2 linked regions of the Arabidopsis thaliana genome follow. The main gene of each other region encodes a partner of the protein of the gene in region 2 in a complex. Each region holds a gene or a part of one and is shown on either strand. Other genes may lie near its edges.

Region 1 (9,209 bases), on a different chromosome or scaffold from region 2:
GAGCAAAGAACAGCCAGGACATTTCATCATCCAAACTAAGAGCTAAAGCAACTGTCAGAACAAAATTTAACAAGGCGCACCAAAAAACTAAAGTATAATTACAGCCTGGAAAAGCACAAGTAATCTCTCTCTCACACACATACACAAGAGTCTATAAGGCGTGGAAAATGAAGCATTTATAAAACAGTAACAGAAACCTGTTGGTTGACTGGTGTTCCTCCGTAAGCAACCACAACTTTCACTCCAGTTTGATAGGAGAACTTTCTGGCTTCATCATGTATCTGCAGAAAAATCATAAAAGAGATGTCTTTTCATGAAATCTTCATGTGATCAACAAATGCATATAAACTATGATATTATACCAGTTATTCAGACCTGGCAAGCCAATTCCCTTGTTGGTGAGAGAATGACAGCAAGAGGATAGACTCCCCGAACTCCACGTGGTCTCTCTATATGCTGATCCTTCATAATCCCACTAATAATCGGAAAACAAAAGGCAGCTGTCTTCCCAGAGCCTGTCTGAGCACAAGCCATCAAATCCCTTCCTGCAGCCAATATGGGAATTGCATTACGCTGCACAGGGGTCGGCTTCACGTATTTGCACCTCTGGATATTTAGATTGAGAGCTTCTCCGAGGTCTATCTCTGCAAATGTATTAACAGGAGGTGGCACATTATCCCCACTTGTCTCGATGGGAATATCTTCATAGGCCTCAAAGTTAATGACAGTGTTTTCCTGCTCGTTAACAGCCGGGTCTGCATTTCCATCATTACCAAACGGGTTAGTTTCAGTATCCCGACGGTCCCAACCTCCACTTCTGGCATTCCAACCGCCCACAGGACCTCCTCTACCACCATAGCCCGAACCTCGACCACCATAACCTTGGCCTCGACCACCATAACCACTATTTGCACCACCATATCCCCCACGATCATTATTACCAGGTGAAGGAGCAACAAACTCCGAAGATGGTGTACGGCTCCTAAGATGTGGAGGAACATAGTTGGTTCGAGACGGACGAGAATAACCCCAACCACCACCAGATGGTGCCCTCTCTGATTCAGAAACATCAGCCCATGAATTTGAACTCATAGTTGCTTAGCTTTACCAGAATCCTTCAAAGTATTGGTCTTCAATTTTGAGTTTGATCAAAGCCCCTGGATATCGTAATAAATATCAGTTCGAACAAGTTCGTTTTCCATAAATAAGTTGCAGCTATGCATGTAAGAAATGAGAGAAAGAGTCAACAAATCCAAATACTAAAAATGAAGAACAAATGCAAATCGATTCGAGAGAAGTAGTTATCTGTAGAAGAATCTTCAAAAAACCTCAGCTAATCGAATAATCTAAGAAATAGAAACGACTCGTAGTAACAAAACAAAATCACGATGAAGTAACACAAAGCTGAGAAGAATCGTTCCCTAAAACGAACAAATGCACAAATCATTAAACCCTAGAAGCAAAATGAAATCGAACAGGACATCGCTGCATAGATTTAACGACACCATGCACAGAGAGATATGAAGCCAGACCTTAAGAAACTCGACTAGAAGAAAAATCTTAGATCAACGATCAATGGTGTTCGAAAAAGCTTGAGGATATAAACCCTAATTTTCCCTTGTTCTCGCGATCGCACACGAAGCAAATGAAACAAAGGTTTCTGGGAAATGAGCAAAAGAGAAAAGATGAAGAGATATTTGTATTTCGATGAACTTTATTAATTTCCAAAAGCCTTTCTCGTTTTTTTATTTTATTAATTTTCAGATTGTTTGCCGTTTTCCAACAACGAAAAGCGTGCCGGCGTTGCTATAACGAAGTGAACTGTGTGTCGTCATAAATTAACATAGCGCGTGATAAACACGAAGAGCAAGGATTGGATAGAGACGAATATTTATTGTGGTCTGGACAAAAGTAATTACTGACAAATTTAGATATTAATTGCCAGCAAAAGTATTTACATACCAACTTATTTTAAACAAATGTCATAAATATGAGTCTGTACTTTCATTTCCATTGAAAATCATAATTTTCTAAATATCTATATTATTATATTATCTGTCTCTACCTAATTTGAATATTACAATGAAAATTTGTAAAAAATAAAATATTTTTGACATCATACATATATTTCAAAAAAATATTGTCAGCTAACTCAACAATTGGCCACAAATGCAAGTAAACTAAAAAACATACAACTACTTAACATATATGGATTGTATGATTATACAAGTCGTCAACATCATAAACATATAATCTCGGGTTAAATGGTCGACCAACTCCAGCGTTGATCAGCATTGACCAACAAAATATTCAAAACTAATTATTAGTATTAAAAAAATTAATGTTATTTGATATTGTAAAATACAAAAAAATATATTTATATCCAATATAAATATATTTTGTATATATATATAATGCATTAATTCATATAATATTTACTTTATTTTTTCAATTTCAAAACTAAACTAAGAGAATAAATATTTTTTTAAGATATGAACTATTCATAATAATAATAATAATAGTTAGTTTCTTAAGAAGTTAAATTTTTAATTGCTAAATATTTTTAATCAATAGTTAGTTTTTTCTTATATTATTCGTAAAAAACATTTACTTTGAATTTAAAAATTACCGTGCAAAATTTAGACTAAAAAGTTATATACTCAATTGTTTTTCATATTACTTTCTTATGAAACTTATATAGTCATGTGTATTTGGTTCTGTAATGATTTATTTTCTAATGAATAAAGAAGTTTATATATTTTAATTGATAATACAAAAAAAAGATTCTTTCACTCATATGTTTCTAATAAGATTTTTCTGGTTTTAATTTCAGTTTTTTTTTTGTTTTAAAAATTTTAATCATTTTTTTCATTTTTAGTTTAGTTTTGAAATTAAAAAAAGCTAAATATTTTAAGAATCAATGTATTAAATATATATGCAAAATATTTTTATAGTAGATGTAAAAATTGTTTTTTGATTATAGAATAACTAGTAAAACTAGATTTTTAATATTAAAAATAAAGTAAAAATTTATTTTTGAATATTTTTGTTGGTTAACACCGGTTGACGTTAGAGTTAATTGGTTATTTAACATGAAATTTTATATTTATAATGTTAACTATATAATATTATATACTTGGTTATGCAATCTATATACATCATTTAATTAAGTGTTATTTAGTTTAGTTGACATATATAGTTTGTACTGTATTATATTTTCCGTAAGTTTCAATCTTTTTTATTATAAATAGGTGAATATATGTGTATATAGAAAAAAGAGTATTAAAGACTTTTTGTTTCCCTTTGGAAAATAAAATAAAATAAAAATACGAGTCCATATTTGGTCTTGAACGAGACTTGCGTTCATTCCTAGGGGGATGAACCTCTTTGTTCACCTCCTTTTGCATTAACTAATAAAAATATGTCATGTCAAATCCTATTTAAATTACATAATAAATTGAAGCTATAATTATAATCCAAACCGATATATAATTTCGTTTAATTACAAAATCTAAACCCTAATTCTTCTTTGTAAATCCAAACCGCCATTTAAACTCATTTAGTCGTAAAAAAACTAAACCCTAATCGTATTTTCTAAACCCAAACCGACATTTAACCTTGTTTAATTGTTAAATCTAAACCTGTTAATAAATCTAAACCAATATTTAACCCGTTTAATCATAAAATCTAAACCTTAATCGTACTTTCTAAACCAAAACCGATATTTAATCTCGTTTAATCATAAAATCTAAACCCTAATCGTATTTTCTAAACCCAAATCAATATTTAACCTTGTTTAATTGTAAAATCTAAACCATGATTTTTTCAAATAAACTCAAATCGATATATAATTTTGTTTTTGAGGCAAATTAGATTTTATAATTAAATTAAACTTTTATTATTATTATTAGGTTTTAAATTTTAATGGGCTAAAACAGTGAATATAGAACCCAAGTATTTTTCTTTGGTCTTTGTCCATCTTTGGAAATTAATTTAGTCGTAGCGAACAAATCTATCCCACTCATTGGATTTCAATTTCATAAATTTTAGGTTGTAAAATTCGGGTTTGGAGAAAATTGGGGGTAAATCTAGGGTTCTGGGAAAATTAGGGTTCTGGGAAAATTAGGGTTCATCCATGCTGTCGAGTTTTAGGGTCAAGTAAATGACGGATCCATTAGGATCCGTTTTATATCTTATGCTCTCTCGTCTCAATATATATATTTAAAAATCTCAGCCTTTGGGCTTCGTTAGTGTTGGTTTGCTTTCAGAATTTAACTTAGTTACGGTAAAAGCAATGCTTAGCGTTATACGAGTGCATCTACCGTCGGAGATTCCTATTGTTGGCTGCGAACTTACACCTTACGTACTTCTCCGGCGGCCTGATAAGACCCCCTCCACCGATGATGTGCCTGAGTCAGCCCCGCTTGAAGGTCACTTCTTAAAGTACAGATGGTAAGTCATGCCTGTGGCTTCCTTTTACTCTTAAATCTGCTCCCTTTTACTAGCTTTTGCTCGAGTTTGTTATGGACGACTTTTTTTTACCGAAAGTTTGAGACTTTTCTGTGAATTCCCGGGTATGATTTGTTTAAGTGTTTCTTAGTCAGTTCAAGTCTTTGTTCGTTTGCAAATTTGAGTGTGAAAAATGATTTCTTTAATTGTAAAGTAGGGTTTATAAGTCTCCAGTCTTGTCTTTTGGTTCTGTATTAAAAGATGCATCATCTGTTGCAGGTTTCGAGTACAGAGTGATAAGAAAGTTGCGATTTGTAGTGTGCATCCATCCGAGACGGCAACATTGCAGTGTCTGGGATGTCTAAAGTCTAAAGTTCCTGTTGCCAAAAGCTACCATTGCTCTACTAAGTGCTTTTCGGATGCGTGGCAACATCACCGTGTGTTGCATGAGCGTGCTGCCAGTGCTGCTACAGAAGGAAATGATGAAGAAGAGTTGCCCCGTTTGAATAGCTCAGGGTCTGGATCTGGTGTTCTCAGCACCAGTGTTAGTTTAACGAATGGGTCATCATCAGTTTATCCTTCAGCCATAACTCAAAAGACCGGCGCCGGAGGAGAAACACTTGTTGAGGTTGGACGCTCTAAGACATACACACCAATGGCTGATGATATTTGCCATGTTTTGAAGTTTGAATGTGTAGTAGTCAATGCAGAGACAAAACAGAATGTGGGCCTTTCTTGTACCATATTGACTTCCCGTGTTATCCCAGCTCCATCACCTTCTCCGCGTAGGCTGATCTCTATTAGTGGAACTGATGTTACTGGGCACCTGGATTCTAATGGGCGGCCTTTGTCTATGGGAACATTCACTGTGCTGTCCTACAATATATTGTCTGATACATATGCTAGCAGCGACATATACAGTTACTGCCCCACATGGGCTCTCGCTTGGACATACCGTAGACAGAATTTGTTACGGGAAATTGTCAAGTACCGTGCAGATATAGTTTGTCTACAAGAGGTATGTTAAATATTTATGGCACAAGTTGTACTGACTTGGAAACGTTTCAATTGCTAGTTAATGGATAAATACCTCTCCAATATTTTCGTTTTTCATCTTGCAGGTACAGAATGATCATTTTGAGGAGTTTTTTCTTCCTGAGCTGGATAAACACGGATACCAAGGTCTTTTTAAGAGGAAAACAAATGAGGTTTGCTTCAACGCATCCCCTTGATCTTCCATTACCTTTTCGTGGTCACTTATCTGCAAGATGTACCAACCAGAAAATATTGATTCACTGGATAATTTTAGGTTTTCATCGGTAATACAAACACAATTGATGGGTGCGCTACTTTCTTCAGAAGAGACAGGTTCTCACATGTAAAAAAATATGAGGTATGTCTTAGTTTTCTCCTGTTACCTATCTAATTAGGCCCATTTGCTAAATCATTGGGCTGCTCATCCAGGTTGAGTTCAACAAGGCTGCACAGTCTTTGACTGAGGCTATTATCCCTGTTTCCCAGAAGAAAAATGCTTTGAATCGGTTGGTCAAGGTACTCTGAGATGCTCTATAGTATGATTTCTGTTTTCCGCACATTCTTGGTGATATTTTTTCATGTAAAACTGATTTAGAGTCTTTCTTTTTAGGATAATGTTGCTTTAATAGTTGTACTGGAAGCAAAATTCGGTAGCCAGGCTGCTGACAATCCTGGGAAGCGCCAGCTACTTTGTGTGGTAAGTTGTCCATCTTTTCAATATTGTTCTTTATTGTCAGAGATGATGCTAGAGTTGAAGTTATGTGTTTCCACTTCCTCTTCTCCTTTAAAGGTCTCGAGGTGATCATGTTTTCTCTCTTTTCATGTATTTGATGGGTGCAGGCTAACACGCATGTAAACGTTCCTCATGAATTGAAAGATGTAAAGCTGTGGCAGGTTGGTCTTTATTTCTCATTGTAAAAGAACTCTCAGATTTCGGATTCTTACATCACTATTGATCCATAATGATTCTTGCCCAAATAGGTTCACACATTATTGAAGGGACTGGAGAAAATAGCTGCCAGTGCAGATATTCCAATGCTTGTGTGTGGAGATTTCAACACAGTACCTGCGAGGTCTGGCTGGTTTTCCTATTTGTTATGCCCAAGTAGCAATTGTCAAACTCTATATTAAATTATGATTGTGGTTTCTACCTGAATTAACTTGGAGTTCCTTCTTAATATTTTCAGTGCTCCTCATACACTTCTTGCTGTGGGAAAGGTCGATCCATTGCACCCAGATTTGATGGTTGATCCTCTTGGAATTTTACGTCCTCACAGCAAGCTTACTCATCAGCTGCCACTGGTAATTATCTTTCCCAAAAATGGAAAACAGATGCACAGAATCGTGAAAGGCAGACTTCAATTTTAATTAGAATGGCAACATATGCGTAGACATCATACCTTTGTGACCATTGCAGGTTAGTGCCTACTCACAATTTGCAAAAATGGGAGGCAACGTTATTACTGAGCAGCAACGTAGAAGACTGGATCCTGCATCAAGTGAACCGTTGTTTACCAACTGTACCAGGGACTTTATAGGCACACTTGATTACATATTTTACACAGGTTAACTTAAGTGCTTACTTTCAGGGGTTTTACGCGCCAGTGTTTGCTTTCATCTCAGATTTCTTTTTCATCTGGTAAGCAATTTGCTTTTTGTTTTGTTTCAGCGGACACGCTAACAGTGGAATCGTTGTTGGAACTGTTGGATGAAGAGTCCTTGAGGAAGGACACAGCTCTTCCATCTCCAGAATGGTCTTCTGATCACATTGCACTTTTGGCTGAATTTCGCTGCATGCCCAGGGCCAGACGAAACAATATTTTATAGAGATACTGCAGCTGTAATAACCCGATACCAAAGACTGGTTCCAATGGATATGGTTAAGCTACATGAAGTAGATAGCATGGCCATGTCCCTGGGGTTTCTCCCGCTGGGTTTTTCGCTTGCGTTCTACTCTGTATCACAGTTTTATTTACTGCTTGGTTCGCTTGGCTTTTCTTTCTATAGTTATTTCCTCTTTGCCAGAAAGTTTTGTCTTCACTGGCTTGTGATTGTAACAATGTAAACAATTAGATTCTTCAAGAAAATAGTGACTTCACCTTTTCCATATTAAAATCTGTGTCTTCTATGGTTGCAATCCTCCTTACACTCTTAACCCTACAGCTTAACCATCAATTTTCTAGTCTCTTCACTTGTAGATATCTTGCAGATACTGTGAAAACGAACTGTGAACAACTTGATATATTTTATATGTACCCCTCCAATAACTGAAGATGATCCAAATTCCAAAACTCAAATTTCAATTCAGAAATTAGACATGTTAACCAGTACTCATTATATAATCCTTTTAAATCAAGTTTCTTGCAGACTTAGAACTCTCGAGTATCCCTATAACTAGAGAGGGAAACATATGTGAACAAGAAACAAGTCTTATAAAAAGCCACATTAAGTTCTTACTCTGCTGCATTAACTGATGGCTAGATTCATGGCTTACAATCAAAATCCACAAATGTTGGCTCTATGCATAACAGTAGCAGTAATGTTCCTTGGTGTGAGATCAGAATTGAGTCAGGATATAAAGGGATGTCAGGATGCGATGTCTGATCTCTACTCTTGTCTTCCTTTTGTCACTAACAAAGCTAAAGCACCAGACTCAACATGTTGCAGCACACTCAAGGTAAAAATAGACAAAGGGCAGACCAGGAAATGTCTATGTACTCTAGTCAAAGACAGGGATGATCCTGGTTTGGGGTTCAAAGTTGATGCCAACCGTGCAATGAGCCTCCCTTCCGCTTGTCATGTCCCTGCAAACATCTCTCAATGCCCAGGTGAGAGATTTCATATCTTCTACAATATTGGCTTGAAAAAGTATTGCATGGTCACAAACTAGATTGTTCTCATTGTTTCATTTTGTTTGGAACAAGATCTTCTACATCTGCTTCCAGATTCACCAGCCTCTCAAATATTTAAGCAATTCACTGAATCTTCTTCTCAGACTGTTGGACATAAAGGTACTAATAACAATTCTTACAGTTTTTGATTCTATTCGTGCAAACATTAATTTTCCGTTTTTCTCGGAACTAAAAGAAAACGAATAAAAATATTGCAGCGGTCTCCACAAGCTCAAGCATCAAAGGAAGAGACAACAAGCAATTTGGTTTAATGATGGCTGGTGCTCTCTCAATATGGTATATAATGTAAAATCCTCTGTGATCTAAAGTTGATGAACACAATAACCAAAATCATTATACGAGTCATATCTACTAGCTGAAGCAGATGTATCATGGCTTATTAATAAGAACTTATTGAGAAACTCTTAAGCATCATAGAATGCGATTAGAAGAACTCTTTGAAGCATATCATATACAAAAACAGCTATTTAGTTTCATGGAAACGCATTGAAAGAAAGAAAAAGAAAGCTTAAAATAACACTTGACAAACATGGACATGATCACCAATTAAAAATCTGCTACAGATTACTCACTCACTCTCCTCAATGAATCTGATGACTCCTTTAGCCACTAAGTCATCAATCTGGGCCTGAAAAAGCTTCTTTTGACGAACATTTTCCTTTTCTAGTTGATGTAATACGCCGAATGCGACTGGTAAACCTATCACCGATACTCGAGTCCAAACATCTATTGCACCAAACCATTTCGCAAACCTTGCTACTGCACCCGCCATGACTGGATCTGGGGATCATAAGATTTTAAAAAATCAAATTA
Region 2 (8,736 bases):
TCACAGAAGTGGGAGCAGAAGTTGATGCTATATAAGGAAAGTATAGACTCAGTACAAATGCTTTTGGAGTTTGTAATAAGTGGAGAAAAGTAGTAAGAAGATGAGAGAGATAGAGAAAGAGAGATGGGTAGGTCTTGTTTGCTGACACACCACACACACACACACACAAAGACACAACAAAACACTTGAAGCTGATTGGAACTCCACCAATTAATACCTGTGTTTATCCCTTTGTAGGAGCAACTTTCACTTCACATCAACCTTTTTTTGGGCTGCTTTCTCCTTCAATACACCAATCTCTATTCCCTATCATGCATAATCTTCTTTAACTTTTTTTTTCCTGTTCTCTCAGTCTATTGCCTTTATGTGCTTAAAAGTTCTTCAACAAACAAGTATACATGTCATTTCTTTTTCTTATACCCAGGTTGATGCCAATGACATGTAGAGTTGGGCTTAATTCAAGAAAGCCATCCCAATGAATATTTACTTTTTGTCTTGGACTCCTGGTGAGTTCATGAACTTTTGAACTATGCTTGATATTTGCTTGCTAAATCCACTCTGATTGATGGATTCATTGTTTTTCTGTGGACAGATTCTAATAGGCCCCAACTCGTCTTCATTTGGTATAGTTTTGTATGCAGCCGCGGATATGTGTAAGGAAATTACTAAACCCACCTTAGCCCAACCTACAAATCTTACATAGAATATGTACAGTAGTAGTCACTAGTTCTAAACTAATGGAGACTTTATAGACTCTTTTGTATGAGGAAAAAAGGATTTGGAGGGGGGAACAAGACAAAAGAAAGCTTGGCAGTTCAAAAGATCTTCTGAAACTGGGACCGGTTTTATTTGTTTGGATGAAACGACAACTTGTTGTAATATTCACGGAGTAGATGAAGATGACAACAAGTGACAATGAAATTGAAAAGGATGCTCAATGACAAGAGAGAGAGATAAGGAGAGAGTGGACCAAGTGAAACTATTCAGGTATGTTTGATGTTTTTGTGTACTTTTGAAACTTCGAGATGAAAGTGGTCATCTCTGTTTCCTTTTAGCTTTCCACTGTTTAACTCTCTTTTGTCCTCTTTTCACTTCTTCCTTTTGAAGTTTGCTTCACATTCACACTCTCCTTCATCTTTATATCCATTGGAATCCTTAATAGTTTGCCGGATTTTATGGTTGAAAGGTACGAAACTCCCTTAGGACACATTCTACTTCACAGTGATTTCCACTTTACATGATTCACTTGAATATTTATCATATCAATTAAGTGACATGATTAAAGATTAATATCACCCTTCTTTCACAAGTCCATTAAATGAATATTGTTTGTTTTTTCCGAAATATTCGAAGGCCAATAAATTTTGTTCTGGTTTGGGTGGGAAAACAAAGTGAAACGACAAAGCGTCTCATCTATGCTTGCTCGGGATACGAATCTTCAGTATTTGATTTCTCGAAAACTTTAGCATAAATTAATATGTGGTGGAAGCCGGAAAATATAAAAATAGGCAAGTAAAATCCAAAGAACTAATTGTTAGGACAACTAGTTTAAGTATGTTGAGTATTTTGTCGAATGCGACCTATATATAATTCGTGGGTCCAATGTTACAAACGATCTACAATTAAAGAAATTGTGAAAGCTGATTCGGTGGATCAATTGTTAGTATCAATTAAAAATTTGATTGACTACAAATTATTTTATAAGTCTCTTACATGTACACTAATATGAACTTTATAATAACTTAAGACTGTATAGGTATCACATTAGCATTTAAAAACAAGAAACATGATTGCGTAAGGGGAACTGAGACAAGTGGTGCAGGAGAAACCACCCCCACATGGATGATTACAAATATAAACACTATTTGTGTTACCAGTAATCACAAATCAGCTGAATCTTTTTGATTAGATTTGTCTGTCTCATCCAAAATTAGGCAAAAAGTATATTTCAAAACTACATCTGAACCTTACTCTTCATTTTTGAAGAATAAAATAACAAATAGCCCTAATCATACTTAGTTACTTACCATTTTTTCCGCAATCAAGTACTATACATCAACAGAAAAAAAAACTAATAAAATAAAAGTGGGTGCTTGACAGCTTCTTTTGGATTCACAAGGATATGTATATCATAAGTTGATGAGTAATCGTTATAATTAGGGTTGGCACTGATATTTTGCTGGTCTCAACCAAATTGATAAACATACTATGTTTAGGCATACCAAATTTTCCTCAACGAGAACAAGTTCAAAAAAGACATATGGCAGCCACAAGATAATAATTAGACACTAATTAACTCAATTCATATCTGATATGTATATAAATAATTTTGATGCTATTTCGTCCGCACTGTGTTACACATTTTTATTTAAATATGTAACGTTTTTTTGGTTACCTAAAGCAAAGCAATAGCCAATAGTGGTCATTTGATAATAACTAAACCCTAAAACAACAAACATGCCCAAATCAGAATCCCAATTCAACCTTGGTAAAAACGTTCTCCCACCTCTGATCAAAGCCCACACAACAAAGGCCCAAATCAGAATCCCAATTCCCAACACACAAACACACGTGAAGAGACTCAGAGAAGCCGTTAAAGACAGGACTAGCAAGTACACTGTTTCTTCTGTAATAAGAAGTAGATTTGATTCTCTGCCACACCTACATAATAGTGACTCGGACTTTTGCCGTATTGCTGTTGTTTTCTTCTTTTTACTTTATTTCTCGTGTCGTGTTGCTATTGGATCATATGTTTTCGATCATCAAACAAGTTCGTGTAATGAAATATTTAAGGTTTTGAGAAACTTAGATTTAATTATCTTGATGGAAACTGAGTTCATACACAAATCCACATTTTGACATAATACTTCCAACAGGCTGATACTTTTTTTTTTTTCTTCGGCAATTGAATGAGCTACGACGTCTCAATCAGTCAAATCTCGTAATCTTCTGTACCACTTGCGACTCAGATGACGTCTGAATACTTGCCCAACAAAACATTGATTGCATTAGAATGCTACTCATTGACAATATGATAATAAATTGGCTATTGAGGTGATTGGCGAATGCAACAGCATACATATGTGATTCTCCTCCACATTAACCATGACATGATACCACTTACATCATAAACACCTAAATAACAAATCTATACATCAATCGATTACCATAGCTCTGTTTTTTAAACAATGTAACACATATAACCTCTAGCATAAGCAGTTCATTGTTCTCCTTATCAACTTGTATCAACGAAGAGGGAAAGAAGAACACAGGAAGATTCAACATTCTCTTAAGCATAAAACTTACCAGTTTGCATCTTCAAACTGGTATGGTTACAAAGAATTACACAGTAACTGCAAGCTGAGACATGCAAACGCTACTACAAGAAGCCACTGTCAAGTTACATTGGTCACTAGTAAGAAGAAAACACACACAAAAAGAAAAGAGAAGAAAAATTAAAATTGGAGATTATTTATTAAATAAACGGGTAGCTGAATTGATATACATTCAGAAACTCAAGCTAAAACAAAAACCCCTCAAATTTTGATCACAAGGGGTTTTCCTGAAAACAAAGCAACAAAGACACAACAAGTCACTTACTAACACCAATTTGCCAATTTACACAACGACGATTCTATTTTGGTCTTCTCACACTCACAAAGACTAAAGAAATATATCTAATCGCACTTCCCTGGAATTTTCAAAGTATCTTTCATTCCTTTCTTCTTAATTAGCAACAGTAGTAGTAGTACCATCTTCCACACCTAGACCATACAAGACTCCAGTGTATTTCTCAGTTGATCCCGGGAAATAACGTTCCTTGAGCTTCCTAAACGACCCTAAGGTGAGCAAGCTATCCGACCCAGCTTGATGACAAATCCCAACTCTCTCCACTCCCATAAGCTCCGCAAGTCTGTTCAATCCACCAAACAGTCCGTTGCAGAACGTCATCAAGTGCTTGATATCGTAAACCGTAGGGAAATACACATACAGAAGCTTGAAGAAATCAGCTTGCTTGAGAGGCAATTCCTTACAAGTCAACAACTTAACCAAATACCCGAAATCATATCCACCATGGAACGTAACCCACGAGATAGCATCGTTCAAAACAATCCCAGACGACATCATAAGCTCACCAAACCTAACCACATCAATACCTTTCTCAATGTTCTTCTTGAAATCAATCCCACACTGACGCAACAGCTCAATAGACTCACTCGCGTAGATATCCTCACCGATGTTGAACTCACGGAAATTGAATTGCCAGATGCAGAACTTATCCGTCCCACAAGTCGGAAGATTCCCATTCTCATCAGAAAAAGTTAACCCAACTTGAATCAATTTCAACAAATCGACATTTTCCTTGAGAGTCCTGTAGTTAAGATCGTTATTGTACTTGAAAGTAGCAACAGGCTTCAAAACCACACCTGGAAACTCAGTATCCATAGCGATATAGCTGAATTTGTCAACAATCTCACGGATCAACGCGAATTCTTCAACCAAATTGTAATCCCAAACCTCTCGAATCATAATCGAATCTTCTTTCAAAGTCTCCGCCATTTCTAGATATACAACAAACCCAGATCTGAAAACAAAGCATACGTCGGAACTCGGAAATACTGCGAAACTCGTATCGGTAGATCTGTAAACGAAACCTTCCGATCTGAGGAAGAGGCAACAACACCAGGAAAATCAGAAATCGATGTAACAAAAAGCAAACCCTAGCTGTGAAACGAAAATCGAAATGAAACGGAGAGACATGAAAGTATGAAATTACCAGAGGTTTCGCAATACAGATGTAAGAAAAGGAACAGATCTAGCAGATTCGAAGAGAGATCTGTGCGTCTGCGAGAGAGAAATTATCGGGTCAACCAGAGAGAGAGGTTTCAAGTGGTATGGCTTTGGAGAAGATGAAGTGATAAATAAAGACAAGTGTGAGCCTTGAAACGAAGCCGTTTTGTTTGACGATGAAAAGCTTATACGACGACGTTTTGCCGTGCGTCTTCTTACATCAATCATTACGTTTTGGCCAGTTACCAATTATTTTATCCGTATTGTCCGTTTTCTAATTATTTTAATGATGCGAATTGTGTGATATGATGACCAATTTTTATTTATGTGTATCACGGAAATTCCGTTCGTTTGTAACTTCCATGATCTTTTTTTTTTCTTTTGCTTTGTAGACCTACCTCCATTATTCTTAAATTTTATGTATTTTATAGCATTTGGTACTAGAGTTAAATTGTTATACCTTATTATGACGATCGAACTTTATAGTTATAGGAAAAGTTGTATAAACTAAACTGCATTTTGATTTTTGTACAAGTCTAAATTTATATGGTTAAGAAACAGATTGTGCTAATAAACAATCAAAATTATTTATTTTTGCTATGGAGCTAGTCAGCTAGATGATTTGAAGAACCTTAAAACTTCTTTTTCTTACAATTTTAACTCAGTTTTATATCATTTGGTAATAATATTCCTACGGATTGTCTCGCAATTTTATATCACATTTTAATAATTTCTGTACTGATTATCTCACAAAATTGAAAGAATATCAATTTTTTTTTTTGTCGAAAATTTGAAAGAACATAATATTTGATTATTTTCCAGGTAAACTCTTTTATTTCTGTTTTTTTTTCTTCTATGTAAACTCTTCAATTTCGGATTTGTTTCCTATGTAGTTCTGCCAATTAATTGAAAATATGGTATCTTGTTTTTTTTCAACTCAAAAAAAGGATTTTAGATTTATGTTATCTTGTTATTAAGAAGGATTTGTTAGCATAATTGTTAAACAAAACAAAGTAATTTTAATTATAATAGAATTGACTTTGGGATTTCTACCTTACAAGTTACAAGTGGCCAATATTAATGCAATCATACAACGAATGGGAAGACGTTTGATAGAGATACATGCATCACTTGTTACAATCATCTTCGTTCATGAATAGAATCATTTTAGATTTATTTATTTTAGAAAAAAACTTTCAAGTTTCACCAGCGTAATCAGTTTTTCTTCTTAAAATTATTACATGAAAAGATTCTCCAACTCAAACGAGGACCAAAGTTCTTTTTTTTTTTACAAAAAAAGACAACTATTAGGAAGAAAGGGGATAAAGGAATTTTAATTCTAATTATTATTACGGAGTCAAGGCATCATCGTGCTTCCCACTTACCCTCAAGCATAATCCATTGTTTTGTAATAATTAATTCGTTTTTATATAAACTAATGTATTAGCTTGTTTTATATCAAATAATTGTGTACCTTTTTCTATAAATTAAAAAAAATAAACAAGTAATGTCAAGTCACGAAATATTAGATGGTGGTTTCATCATCCGACCATTTTTAGGAAATTTCTTCTGGAATCCAACACATACCAAACATGAAAGTTTCTGCATAATTGTTCTTATATATATAACAAAATTTACTTAATTGTTACCCTCCAAAAATATGTCTCACCGTGTAATTGCTTGCTCATCTAAAATCTAAATAGAATTCTATATTTAAAATCAAAATCGAAAAAAACGAAAATAGAAACTAAAATTGAAATTTTTGTTACTTAAATTAGAAAGAATTATTTAAACAGTTGCATGTATTTAACGTAGATAAATTCTTTAATATCACGTGCACATATAATTTAGATTAGGTAAATCATCTAGTACCAAATATTTGTTTAATTTTATGGGTTTTGGATTGTTTAGAGATGTTTAGATCGTTCCTACAAATGTTCGAACAGCTTGATAAAACAAATGTCATATTCTACATGAACTCTAGGTAACATTTCGATATGATCTATTATAAGATACACTTAAAGATAAGAAGGCTCATAGCTGTTAAGTTACTAAACGTTAAGTTCACTCGTAAAAACGAGTATTTAGTTCTTGATCACGTTTCAGAGAAAATAATCTTATTAGAAAACCATTAAAAACCAAGACCGTAAATCTGAAGATATATCGTTCATAATAATATGACCATATTTTCTATCATTTTATTTTGGACCAACTCCGGTGATCTAATATTAATTTGAGGATCATCATCTAGTCATCGTAAAGCACTATACTAGGATAAATATCTTTTCCTCTAACTTGATAACACTGGATATTGAAGGTCCAATTACTGGCAGAAAACATTAATAGGTAAATAACAACTGGCTAAAGATAAAAAAAAAGAAGACCTTTAACAAGAAAAAGATGAAAAAAAGAAGAGTGGAAGAGACCAATAGAAGTAAAGCAAAGAAAAGATGTGGTCGTCGTCAAACACGTGAGAGGTAATTCTTAACTAGTAAAGTCACGTGTCGTTGGTTAGTTCAGGGGAAAGAAATCTCTCAAATCCCCCAAATGACACCCCTTGGTAACCTAAATAAAACCCCCAATTTCACCGCTTCTTTCTTCTTCGCTCTCTTCCTATAAATCTCTCTCTGCGCTGTAAGAAAAATATCTTACACCAAACACAAACACAAAACACAGATTCCTTCTTGTTCTTCTTCTTCCTTTGATTGCTTTCGAAGATGGTTGGTTCTAGGAAGCGTTCATCAGCCAAGAACAGACTTGTTTCTTCTTCAACTCGTTCTTCTGGGAAGGATAAGGTTTTGCAACTATCGCTTCTTCTTCTTTGGTTTGAATTACTAGTTTTTCTATGCGAATTTGCTCTAAAGTATTGAACTTTACTAGGTTTCTGATGCTCGTAAATATGGTGAAGCCTTGGTGGGTTCAAGGATACGAGTTTGGTGGCCGATGGACAGCAAGTGAGTGTTCCAATCTTATTGAAAAAATTAGGGCTTTTTTACTATCAGTTACTTGTGGTCAATCTTACAGATCTCTTGGTTTTGCAGATTCTATAAGGGTGTGGTGGATTCCTATGTCTCTTCCAAGAAGAAACATCGGGTAATTCATATCATGTATCTTGTTACTTGTTTCTATGGGTCTGCTTGAATCTAGATTGGATTTTGAATTGCACATTCATTAAATGAATGAATTAGGGTTTATCTCTTGGATTTTAAGATCTATTGATATCTAATCTGAATTGAATGAGTTTGGTGGATGATTTACTTTATCAGAGGAATTTAAGTTGCTTAGATAATGTGTCATTTAATGAGTTACTCTTCATTGTTATTAGGTTTTCTATGAAGATGGTGATAAAGAGACCTTGGATCTGAAGAAGGAGAGATGGGAGTTGATTGAAGAAGATGATGCTGAATCTGAATCTGATGAGGTAGATATTAGACAGTGTTTGTTTAATCATTTATTGTCGATTTTATCCTGTGTATCACTAGCTTTTAATGGTTCAGCATTCTTTTTTTTCCAGATCTCCCTACAGGAGGAATCTGCTGGTGAGAGTTCTGAAGGCACTCCAGAACCGTAAGTTTGCCCTTATCTTCCTACCTGTTTTAGACATCGCAACCTTGAGTTTCTCTTTATACTTAACTAGGGTTATGATTTAGATCGTGTGTTGTATCGTATAGTACCGATTGTTTTAATATCACTAACAGTCATGATTTACGAACATGAGTGTGTCAGATACACATATATTCATGGCTGTGGATTGTGTCCCTGAATCTAAAGATTTAGGAGTAAGTAATTCTGAATGATCTTTGTTGTCTAAACTCTCTACAGGCCTAAAGGGAAAGGGAAGGCATCTTTAAAAGGAAGGACGGATGAAGCTATGCCCAAAAAGAAACAGAAGATAGATTCTTCATCAAAGAGGTTGGTTATGTTATACTATGCATTCTTAAATAA

The links. Proteins that work in one complex are often made in the same cells at the same time.
Region 1: AT5G10960 (region 2) and AT3G58560 share a complex: the UniProt entries of both Arabidopsis thaliana proteins name them as parts of the CCR4-NOT complex.

What each region holds. Positions count from the first base shown.
Region 1 is NC_003074.8:21,648,982-21,658,190, reverse strand, and holds AT3G58560 (DNAse I-like superfamily protein), read left to right. Parts: upstream 1-3,990; 5' UTR 3,991-4,294; coding exon 4,295-4,452; intron 4,453-4,728; coding exon 4,729-5,467; intron 5,468-5,570; coding exon 5,571-5,657; intron 5,658-5,758; coding exon 5,759-5,842; intron 5,843-5,913; coding exon 5,914-6,000; intron 6,001-6,094; coding exon 6,095-6,181; intron 6,182-6,324; coding exon 6,325-6,378; intron 6,379-6,465; coding exon 6,466-6,557; intron 6,558-6,671; coding exon 6,672-6,786; intron 6,787-6,901; coding exon 6,902-7,049; intron 7,050-7,153; coding exon 7,154-7,311; 3' UTR 7,312-7,626; downstream 7,627-9,209. Other genes in the region: AT3G58570 (P-loop containing nucleoside triphosphate hydrolases superfamily protein), read right to left, coding at 198-281, 376-1,092; AT3G58550 (Bifunctional inhibitor/lipid-transfer protein/seed storage 2S albumin superfamily protein), read left to right, coding at 7,958-8,312, 8,409-8,495, 8,594-8,685; AT3G58540 (uncharacterized protein), read right to left, coding at 8,965-9,168. UniProt on the Arabidopsis thaliana protein: Acts as a catalytic component of the CCR4-NOT core complex, which in the nucleus seems to be a general transcription factor, and in the cytoplasm the major mRNA deadenylase involved in mRNA turnover.
Region 2 is NC_003076.8:3,460,405-3,469,140, reverse strand, and holds AT5G10960 (Polynucleotidyl transferase, ribonuclease H-like superfamily protein), read right to left. Parts: upstream 5,044-8,736; 5' UTR 4,778-5,043; intron 4,664-4,777; 5' UTR 4,561-4,663; coding exon 3,727-4,560; 3' UTR 2,827-3,726; downstream 1-2,826. Other genes in the region: AT5G10950 (Tudor/PWWP/MBT superfamily protein), read left to right, coding at 7,509-7,586, 7,672-7,745, 7,833-7,884, 8,117-8,212, 8,306-8,358, 8,614-8,703. UniProt on the Arabidopsis thaliana protein: Ubiquitous transcription factor required for a diverse set of processes. It is a component of the CCR4 complex involved in the control of gene expression.